Linked DNA regions of Diceros bicornis minor. The protein of the gene in region 1 binds, or shares a complex with, the protein of each later gene. Links are inferred from orthologs where the notes say so. Each region holds a gene or a part of one and is shown in the gene's direction. Other genes may lie near its edges.

The links.
Region 2: the proteins of CCKBR (region 1) and GNAI2 are in contact, whole or in part, in a cryo-EM structure (PDB 7F8V), measured with the Homo sapiens proteins. The link is inferred for Diceros bicornis minor from reciprocal best matches to the Homo sapiens genes CCKBR and GNAI2. Residues at the interface, in NP_795344.1 of Homo sapiens: Thr87, Thr89, Arg152, Ala155, Ile156, Pro159, Leu160, Ala162, Arg163, Val164, Thr167, Ser169, Ile241, Gly248, Leu249, Lys328, Val331, Leu335, His394, Arg396; in NP_002061.1 of Homo sapiens: Glu28, Ala31, Arg32, Glu33, Val34, Lys193, Leu195, Thr220, Phe337, Thr341, Asp342, Ile344, Ile345, Asn348, Leu349, Lys350, Asp351, Cys352, Gly353, Leu354, Phe355.
Region 3: the proteins of CCKBR (region 1) and GAST are in contact, whole or in part, in a cryo-EM structure (PDB 7XOW), measured with the Homo sapiens proteins. The link is inferred for Diceros bicornis minor from reciprocal best matches to the Homo sapiens genes CCKBR and GAST. Residues at the interface, in NP_795344.1 of Homo sapiens: Cys107, Pro114, Asn115, Gly118, Thr119, Phe120, Met134, Gly135, Val138, Tyr189, Gln204, Cys205, His207, Leu222, Val349, Tyr350, Ala352, Asn353, Arg356, Pro361, Ala363, His364, Leu367, Ser368, Ile372, His376, Tyr380; in NP_000796.1 of Homo sapiens: Glu85, Ala86, Tyr87, Gly88, Trp89, Met90, Asp91, Phe92.

The regions. Positions count from the first base shown.
Region 1 is NC_080746.1:64,370,158-64,373,905, forward strand, and holds the start of CCKBR (gastrin/cholecystokinin type B receptor), read left to right. Parts: upstream 1-1,179; 5' UTR 1,180-1,200; coding exon 1,201-1,351; intron 1,352-3,748. UniProt on the Homo sapiens protein: Receptor for gastrin and cholecystokinin. The CCK-B receptors occur throughout the central nervous system where they modulate anxiety, analgesia, arousal, and neuroleptic activity.
Region 2 is NC_080741.1:51,281,381-51,285,128, forward strand, and holds the start of GNAI2 (guanine nucleotide-binding protein G(i) subunit alpha-2), read left to right. Parts: upstream 1-1,284; 5' UTR 1,285-1,331; coding exon 1,332-1,449; intron 1,450-3,748. UniProt on the Homo sapiens protein: Guanine nucleotide-binding proteins (G proteins) are involved as modulators or transducers in various transmembrane signaling systems.
Region 3 is NC_080757.1:41,008,690-41,011,101, forward strand, and holds GAST (gastrin), read left to right. Parts: upstream 1-1,291; coding exon 1,292-1,511; intron 1,512-1,633; coding exon 1,634-1,737; 3' UTR 1,738-1,782; downstream 1,783-2,412. UniProt on the Homo sapiens protein: Gastrin stimulates the stomach mucosa to produce and secrete hydrochloric acid and the pancreas to secrete its digestive enzymes. It also stimulates smooth muscle contraction and increases blood circulation and water secretion in the stomach and intestine.

The DNA.
Region 1 (3,748 bases):
CCACCTCAGTCCTCCGCATACCCCCTTCAGTTTTGTTCCCGCTGAACCCCAGTGATGCAGCCCCCTTCCAGCCCCCTTCCGTGGGAACCTGACGCCCTATACAGGCTGCTCCACCTGCGCTGAGAGCAAACAGGGAGCGTCAGTGTGTCTGGTGAGAGTGGGCGCTGCCTGGAGACCACGGAGAAAGCCGGCTGCCTCTTCTCTCTTACACGTGCGCTGGGCAGGGATTGCAACGATATCCCACCCTCCCCTCCGCACCCGCTTTATCCTAGGCAGTTCTCACCACCACCCCGGCCGCCCTCAACACCCAAGTCAGACTATTCCTCCGGGCAGCCCTTTACCCTGCCAGAGTTCCCCTGGGACAAATGCTGCCCCTCCCACCCCCCTATCCTCGCCCGCTGCGGAGGGTTCCTTGGGAGCTTTGGGTGGAAGCCTGGATGCTGGACCTGAAGTAGGAGGTCGCAGGTGCTGGGGGTAGATGCAGGGACTACACTGGCCCCGCGGCGAGGAGCCGCAGGGAACTACGGTAGCAATAGTGTCGCGGTCACTGCGGCCACTGCGGCATAGTACGGTAACCGCGGCGCTCCGCGCGCGCTAAGGCATCTGCGCCGCAGCCAGTGACTCCCACGCTGCCTCCGTCTCAGTTGCCACCTCCACGTCTCCTGACCCTCGAGGGAAAGATGCTAGACCCCACGGCAGCCGCGCCCTACCCCACCCCTCTTACCCTCCCTCCCCCGCAACCTCCCTCCTCGCAACCTCTCCCTCCGCACCTAACCCCCACCCTCATCCCCGCCAACACACATGTTCACACACACACACACACACACACACACACACACACACAGTCCCGAGAATCCCCGGAACCCATGGTGAAGGGGAGTGGGCGGGAAGCAAATCTCTAAGAGAAGACCGGAGAGATCTAGGGAGGGGAGAGCCTGAAGGACAGTCACACAGCGGGGCGAGTAAGCCCTGAGCGGGGGAGGGTGCGGAGAGTCACCTGGTGGGACAGAGCGGACCCGAGCCTGGGAGGGACGCGAGCCTAGGCGGGGCGAGCGGAGGAGGAGTGGAGGGGCAGGGGCCGAGGTTGGGGGCGGGGACCAGGCGGGGCGCGAGCCTCAGCCGGAATCGCAGCGTGAGCAGGTGGAGCCGCAGCGGGAGCCCGCCCGGCGAGCGGTGGGAGGCGGCGGCTGGGCCGGGGCCATGGAGCTGCTAAAGCTGAACCGGAGCGTGCAGGGATCCGGACCCGGGCCGGGGGCTCCCCTGTGCCGTCCGGGGGGCCCCCTCCTCAACAGCAGCGGTACCGGCAACCTCAGCTGCGAGCCCCCTCGCATCCGCGGAGCCGGGACACGAGGTGGGTACCTCCCTAAGCCCTCTCCACAAGCTCCTTCTCACTGCACCACAGCACTAATAGAGGGCCCCCCACAGCCTCTACACTGCCTCCTCAGACGCCCACACCATCCCCTTATAGTTCTGCCTGAGTCCCCAAACAGCTCCCCCTGACACATTTGTCCCCCACAGCTCGTAAAACTCCATTACAGCTTCACACTACCTTGTCAGAGCACCTTCACACCCTGGTCCCCTGGTCACACCCAGAGCTCCTGGTCACCCCCAAAACACAGCATCCTCCCCAACACACAGCCCCCTCCTAGACGCCGATAGTGGGGAGGCAAGGACCTCCTCTTGCCAACCTTTCCAGGTCTCTCTTTTCCTTTTACACTCAGTTCACAAAGCCACAATGAGGAAGGAAAGAAAGGAAGGCAAGATTCGGAAAAAGAAGGGGACTGCTTTGGGGAGGGAGCGCTCTGGAAGGCCTGAGTGGGAAGTTTGAGTTATAATCTTCTGTCTCCCGCACCTTAACACCTCAGGCCTTCCCAAAAGATATCCTCTAACCTGAATTAGGCTGGGCACTGGGGGCTGCTCCCTAGAGCTGCCTTTCTCCATTTCACTCATCCTCAAATCCCCATGCAACCCAAGTTAGAGTTCTTCTCAAGGCTCTGTACCCTCTTTCTTTCTCTGTCTCCAAGTAATGTCTCCAGGTCTCTTCCAAGTCCCTCCAAGCTGCCCTTCCTTAGGTTTCACCCTCCTAGAGCCTGGCTGCCCCATTCATCACCCCATCCCTTTGTGCCACCATCTTCCCCCCCAAAACTCCAGACTGCTTCCATTCATCCAGTCCCCAAAATGACTTTCACTCCTCCTATCAGCCAATATCCACATTTTCCTGATGATCCAGCTCAAAATATATTTTTCCCCTTCCTTGACCTTTTCTTTCCTTAAATGTTTACTGGACACCTGCTATTGTAGTCCCTGGGTTAGGTGCTGGGGACACAGGGATAAACTGGACCCAGTCTGGACCCTTATCAGCCCATAGTCAGGTGCAGAGGGGAGACAAAACTAGTGGAAAAGTCAAAGTCAGTATGGGAAGTCCCACAAGAGGGTCTGAATCATGGGCACCCAAAGGAGATGGAGTCTGAGAACTTCACAGAGGGAACCTGGGAGCTGAGTCTTGCAGTTGGAGTTCAGTAGTCAGAAAAGGAGGAAACAGGATTCCAGGAGAGAGAACAGTGTTAAGCAAAAGGAAATTATTCCAAGCTCAAGAAGGGAAAGTGGGAATAAATTGTAATTCGAGTATTAATTTACCCCACAAAATAATGCATGCTTTCTCAGACCAGTTGTTATACACTCTCACTTAGATTCTTTCATTCGACAAATATTTATTGAACCAGAGATTGTGCTAGGCACCAGGGACGTGAGTAGAACAAAACTGACAGAGCTTTCATAGAGCTCCATGTTAGTGGGAGAGACAAGACAAGTCAGCAGGAAGCTGCAGCAGAGTGGGAGGTGCCCTGAGAGGACTGTGGGGACACAGAAGAGGAGCCCCTCTAGCCTAGCCTACCCTAGGCTTGGGAATCAAAGTTGGCCTCCTGAGGAGATGAAGTATGAACTAAATAAAAAAGCTGAGGGAGAGTCAGCCAAGTGAAGGGGCAGTAAAGGCAAAAAACAACCCAAGCAGAGGAACAGTATGTGTAAACACCCAAAGTTTAAATCCATGGCACTTTTGTTCAGTGTGTCATAGTTTCTAAGTGAGACATGTACCATAACAGAGGAATAATGAACCCTCAGGATGAAGACCAGCCTAGAGGGTTTATGGAGAGCCTTGTAGACCTGGCTGAGGAATGCCTATTTTATCTTGAGGGCACTGAGAACTGCTGAAAGGCTCAGTAGTTCAGCCAGGATTAGTTCTGTAGTGTAGAGCATGGACTGGAGGACAAGAAATGGAAGGCGGGAGGCGGGAGGCGGGCGGATGCTTCTGAAGGCTATTATATTACACTGGTCTCCGTGAAAGATGATGCTTAGACTACTTAGACTAGGGTACTGGCAGTGGGGGTGGAGAGAAGTGGATGGATTTAAGAGGCACTTCAGGAAGTGGAATCAATAGAACTTGGCAATTTATTAGAAATGGAGAGGGAGGAAGAGGTCAGGGCATGACATCCAGGTTTCTGGCTTGGACAATTGGATGGATGTTCATGCCATATAATGAGAATGATAACAAAGGAACAGAAACAGGTTTGAAAGAGGAGATTATAAGTTCAGTTTGGAACCCACTGAGTTTAAATGCTGGTGAGCTATCCAGGTGGTGTTGCCCAATAAGCTGTTGAATCCAGGGGCTGGAATGTGGGAGAGGGGTATGAGCTGGAAATGCAGACTTGAAAGGTCTGCGTAGAGGAGGTAACAGAAGCCATAGGAATAG
Region 2 (3,748 bases), on another chromosome or scaffold:
CAGATACTGCAGGGAGAGCAGACAGCCTGAGGACTGGGGAGCTGAAACAAGATGTGTGCCAGTGTGGTAAGGAGGGAGTCTGTGCTGAATGGGGCTGTGGGTGGCCAAGCATTGGTGGCCAGCTCCCCTCCTGGCTTTGTGGAACTTCCTTGTCTTTGGGCCGAGGCCTCCCTGGTTCATGTTACTGGGGCCACACAGGACACCTTCCTGGGTAACCCTTGGCAGACCCTTCAAATATCCATCGGAGGTTGGGGCTGTGGACTCCTCCTGGAGAACAGGATTAGAAAGACTGAAATGTTCTGCTAAAAACACTGCTGCCTCCACCCCACCAGCCATAGGGTTGCAGCCACTATCCAGTGGGGACAGGCCATAAGATCATGGCCACTTATGTTTCCAAAAGTCAGGCGGCATATCCCTCTCCCTCTCCTCCCTCTCTCTGTCTCTCTCTCTCTCATTCTCTCTGTCTCCTTCTCTCTTGGGTCCTGGTTGCCAGGTCCCAGACTGAAATCCAAGATGGCTACCTGCAGGGGGATGCCTCCTAGAAGATCAGAGAAGGATGGATAAGCCTTGGATGACTAGAGAAGGCACCCCAGCTGAGGGAGACAGACTAGAGGTGGTAAGAGACTTTTTTTTTTAATATTGCAATCCAGAGAGAGAAGGTGACAAACCTGCCTTAAGACGGAGCAAGCCCCAGTCCAGAGAGGCTCTGGCCCTCTGCAGATCCCGAAACAAGTTTATTGGGTTCATTAACTTTAACAAGTGACGAAGACACGCCTCCTCCACCCAGCTCGCCCAACTAACAAGTACAGAGGACTGGTTCCTGCTCTGGCCGCGAGGTGCACCGGATCCCCACCCTCCGGCTACGAGATCTCCCGCCCCCGCCGTGGGCCGCTGAGCTCCAGGCGCTCCACACCCAATCGGAGCCCGGCCCCGCCTGCAGCCGGCTCGGAGCCCAATCCCTCTGAGCTTGGCTCTACCCCTACAGCTATCCCTCGCGTGGCTCCGCCTCCAGCCCCGGCCCGAGCCTGAGCAGCGCCTAACTTCTCCTTCGCTCCGCCCTCGAGCCAATCACCTGCCCCGGATCCCCTATGGCCCCGCCTCCGGACCCGCCCCGGCCCAGTCCAGGGCCTGGCTCGCTCCGGCTCCACCCGCGGCCCGCCCAGCCGTCGGTGCGCGGAGGCCTGGAAGGCACCGCCCGCAGACGCTCGGGACTGCCGACCCGAGAGCTACCCGTAGAGGGCCGGCGGCGGGAGCGGAGTGGGTCGGGCGGGGCCGAGCCGGGCCGGGGGCCGTGTGGGGGCCGGGCGGCGGCCGGGCCGGCGGACGGCGGGATGGGCTGCACTGTGAGCGCTGAGGACAAGGCGGCGGCCGAGCGCTCCAAGATGATCGACAAGAATCTGCGGGAAGACGGCGAGAAGGCGGCGCGGGAGGTGAAGTTGCTGCTGTTGGGTGAGGCCACGCCCAGCGTTGGGACCCCCCCCCCCCCCCCCCCCCCGCCACACACACACTCCCCGCCTAAATCCCCAGACAAGGACTTAGACCTCCAGACTACGGCTTCGAACTTCCAGACTCGGCGTGAACTCCCACACCTGGATTTGAATCCCCGGACCCGGCCTGGCCAGAACACCCAAATAATGGTTCAAAACTCTGGGTTGGCCTAGACCTTTGATCCATAGCGCAGACTCTAGACCCTCAGCTCGTCCCAGACCGTAAAACCCCAAACCCAGCCACCAGGTCCTCAACACCAGCTGCCCAGAACCCTGCTTGACCATCCACCCTTGCTCACCAACTCACAGACCCTCAGAGCCCCTGCCTTGTCCTTCCATCTCTCCCTAGACTTTACCCAAACCCCTAGACCCCACGCGGCCCCTACCCTCAGGCACCACCTGTTTCCCCCACCTGCTCCCCCTATTCCTATTGGGCATGAGTATCCCCGAGGGCCCCTGCCAGGCCCCCACCCACTCCTTCCTTTCCCCTCTGTGCCCCATCCCTACTCTGGACCCTATATCCTCCACCTGTGCACCCTGACTCCAAAGGACCTCTCAAGTGGGTAAACATGACTGCTCATGAGCCCTCTCTCTAGCCGGAACCCCCAAACCTCTAGAGACCCCTGTTCTCTGCATCTGGCCCACCAAGTCCCTCTCTGCAGGCATCACTCCTTAAACCCTCTGCTCCCCCTCCCTTAAGTCCTCTCCCACACTCTGGCCTTGCCCAGATTCCCCCACCCCTCCTGCACTGGGTGGGCTGGGCTGGGCTGGGCTGGTTGGAGGGGGCCCAGACCCCTAAGGGGCTGGACTGAGGCTCCACGGGTCATGCTGGGGGAGGGGGCCAGGCCTCAAACTTCCCAGGGAGAGTACACTGACTCTCTGTTTCTCAGTTTCTAAGCCCTGTCTGGGCCTGTGAGAGGGAGGTGGTCTGGGGAGTAGGAGGGAGTGTGGAGGAGTTTGGGTTGCGGCGCCTGTACGGCCAGGGAAGATGGTGGATGCTTGAGAGGTGGGGGGAAGTGGAAGTGGTGAGACAGCCGACATATTGCTGCCCCGGCAGGCGGGGCGGAGGAGATCGGCTGACGGGTACTGGGCTACCCGCACTCCTTCTAGGCCGAAAAGTCTCGGACATGGCCTCTGGGAGTGAGTGGGCCTGTTGGGTCTTGAGGCCCTGTGAAGGGGGAGTGGTGGACCAGCTGGATGAGGAGTTGGGGAGCCAGCTGAGGGTGGGCATCTGTGGTGGACCTCTGCAAAGATTGGGCCATGTAGTTGTTCCCGTCCAGTTTCCCACTCGGAGCAAGTGTGGTGCCCAGGGGCAGCCTGACTTGGGGGGCGTTTCAGGGTTGTGGGGCGGGAGGCCCTCACAGCAGCGAGGAAGGCTGGACAGTGTATGTGGGGGGGTGTGGCCCCTTGGCCCCAGAGCTGCTCTGGGGTCCCTAGGCTGTGAAAAGCAGGGCTTTTCATGCTGGGCGTATGGCCGAGGGACAGCATGTCTTCCATCATGGGCCCATCTGTTGACTGTCCCTGGGGGCCTGGCTTCGGGGGCACAGCCCTGGAGGTTTCAAAATGGCATCCGCTTCACCGCCGCTGCGGGGAGGAAGAGAAGGGGCGGGAAGGGGCGGCGGCCCAGCCTCCTGGGCTGTTTTGCGTTGGGCGCTTGCCTCTTCCTGTCTCTGCTGTGAGTGCGGCAGCGGCAGTGAGTGGGTGTCGACGCGGTGGAATGCCCGTCGCTGCTGCCCGCTGGGCCTGGAGAAGGTGCTTCCGGTACTGCTGCCTCCCCGTGCCCAGCCAGGAGCATCTAGCTAGCCCCCTCTCAGGCCGACTGCAGCGGCTGAGGAGATATGGGAATGTGCCATGGGGCTTGGGGACACAGAGCTCCTGTCCTGTTCTGTGTCCCTACCGCATCCCATCAGTCTTGCTCTTTGGAGCCCTGCTCAGGTTTTGAGCCTGGTAACCCCTCCCATGCTGGGCTGGCAGCAACCAGGGGTGCAGGGTCTGGCTCAGCATTTGCTAGGCTGGGGAGTCCATCTCAGCATCCTGCTCCTCTGGCTGTGCTTCCTCTGTGAAATGGGCTTCCTGGGTTTGGGCCAGAGGAGTGCTTGGGCCCAGAATGGGAAGAATAGGGGCCTTGTGGAGGTTCCTGTTGGGAGTGTGGGGTGGGGGCTAAAACCCTGCAGAGGGTGCACTGCAAGGGGCTGGGAGACCAAGCTGTGCCTGAAATTGAGGACCCAACTTGCTGTGGCTGGCTGGGGAGGGGTCGTGGC
Region 3 (2,412 bases), on another chromosome or scaffold:
GGCCAGACCAGGCCTCAGCTCTAGGACCCACCCTGGCCTTTGCAACCCTTGCCTTCGAGCTGACCTGCTGCTTCAACCAGGGCCCTGCCCTGCCCCTCTCACTCCACGCTCACCTTACCCCTGCGAGGTGAGAAGGACGGGGCTATTCTCCCATCTCTCAGGAGAGAAAACTGAGGCCCATAGGGAGATGTGACTTACCCAAAGTCATACAAATCATTGGGCAGGGCTGGGTCTGGACCCCAGGGCTCCTGGATCTCATCTCAAGCGCTTTTCTAGACCAGCACTGTCTAAAAGAGTTTTCCACGATGACGGTAATGTTCTCTCTGCATTGTCCATTACAGTATCCACCAGCCACATGTGCACTGGAAATGTGGTGTATGCAAGGGAGGAATTTTTCATTTTAATTAATTTAGACGTAAAGAGCCACGTGTGGCTACCATAGTGGACAGCATGGCTCTACCTCACTGATTTTCGACTTTGTTTCTTTAGCAGCAAAACTCTTTCTCTTCCAAGGGAAATCTGACTATGCAAAACAGATCAAAGCAGTGTTTTATTCATACAAATGTGTTCTGAGGAGGTACAATTTTTATCGTTTACTTCTGATAAAGCCAATCAGAACAAGGAAGCTAAAAGAACACAAAGATGTTGAATCCAGAGAACCGAATTTTAGATTTGAATTTTCGGTTTGTTTGAGTATCCAGGTTACTCTGTATTGTGGTTCCTCCAAACTTGATTCACCCTGATACATGGCTGGGAATGGTGACAATTTAATTTTCTCTTAATTACAACCACAGGATAGTCCTCAGTTAAGCAAAAAAGGCAGGAGACCCTCCCCTCCGAGGGCTGCACAAAGACCATGTGACCCAGCACGCGTGAAGGTGCTGGGGTCGCCAAAGAGACACCCTGTGGTCTGCAATGCAGCTGAGTGTGCATTTCTTTGGTATTACTATTTAAAAGTTGGCTTTAAATTACAAGACTTAAACATCTACAGAGCCACTCACATGGCCTCAAATTCTGCAGAGCAGTTTGGAAACTACTGCTCTAGGTTTTAAAATCCTCCAAGAGAAGCAGTTGCTGTAACTGGGGAAAGTAAGGAGGAAAGGCCCAGGCTTGGCGGCTGGGGAAGCCGACAGGAGCTGGAGAAACGAACTAGAGGAACAGTCCACAACCCCACGAAGAACTGCAGAGCTGTCAGCAGGGAGGGCCTGGGGTACATCTGGTCCAGGGCCCAGACTCTGGGTGCCTGGACAGCCCACCTTTAAGCTCGGCCCTCCTCTCCTTTGCAGACAAGATGGGGCGACTGTGTGTGTATGCGCTGATCTTTGTACTGGCTCTGGCCGCCTTCTCCGAAGCTTCTTGGAAGCCTCGCTCCCAGGTGCAGGACGCGCCCTCGGATCTGGGGGCCAATAAGGGCCTGGAGCCACGTTGGCCAGACCGGCTGGATGGGCTGGGTCCAGCCTCTCATCACCGAAGGCAGCTGGGGCTCCAGGGTCCCCCACACCTGGTGGCAGGTAGGAGCTGCTGACAGCCATCCCGGCTTCCTTTGCCCCGCCAGGTTTGGCTTAGGCCTCGGTCTCTAGAGGCTGGGCATGCTTCCTCCATCCTCACCCCCTCTCCCTCCTCTGACCCTCAGACCTGTCCAAGAAGCAGGGGCCGTGGGTGGAGGAAGAAGAAGAAGCATATGGATGGATGGACTTCGGCCGCCGCAGTGCTGAGGAACAGGACCAACGTCCCTAGAACTAAGCTTCAGAGCCCAGCCACCTCCTAGCCCAGCCCAGCCCTGCCCCATGAAAAACCAATCAAAATAAACTAGCTTCCAATAGATCACTCTGTGTCAAGTGTCCCGGGGCAGGGGAGGGGAATGGGTTGGAGGCAAGACTGAGGCAGGGAGGAGAGTTGAGCGCCCCCTAGGGGCAGGGACCGCGGCTAATTCTTCTTGGTGTCCCCAGAGCCTAACATCAAACAAGAATCTACACCGGTGAGTGGGAGAAGAGGTGGTGGGGTCGCAACTGGAGAAAGCTTTCTAAAAGATAAAGAAAAGCATGCCACTCCAGGCTTAACCATCCAACACTTCCCATCGTACTTAGAATAAAACTTAAACTCCTTACCGAAGCCTACAAGCTAGCCCTGCCGTCCCTGTTGTGGGCGCCGCCATGGGTGCGTTCCTTCCTCCTCTCTCTCCCTCTCCCTTACACAAATGCACCATGTTCTTTCCTGCTCAGAATCTATGTCTTTGCTGTTCCCTGCACCTGGAATGCTTTTCTCCAGGCACAAACGTGGCTGGGTCCCCTTTTTCTCCTTGAGTTCTTGGTTGAAATGCCACTTCCTGAGAGACCCACCCTCTCTGCCCCTCACCCTTCACACACAGACCCCAATATCCTCTAATCACAGCATAATATTTTCTATAGAGCA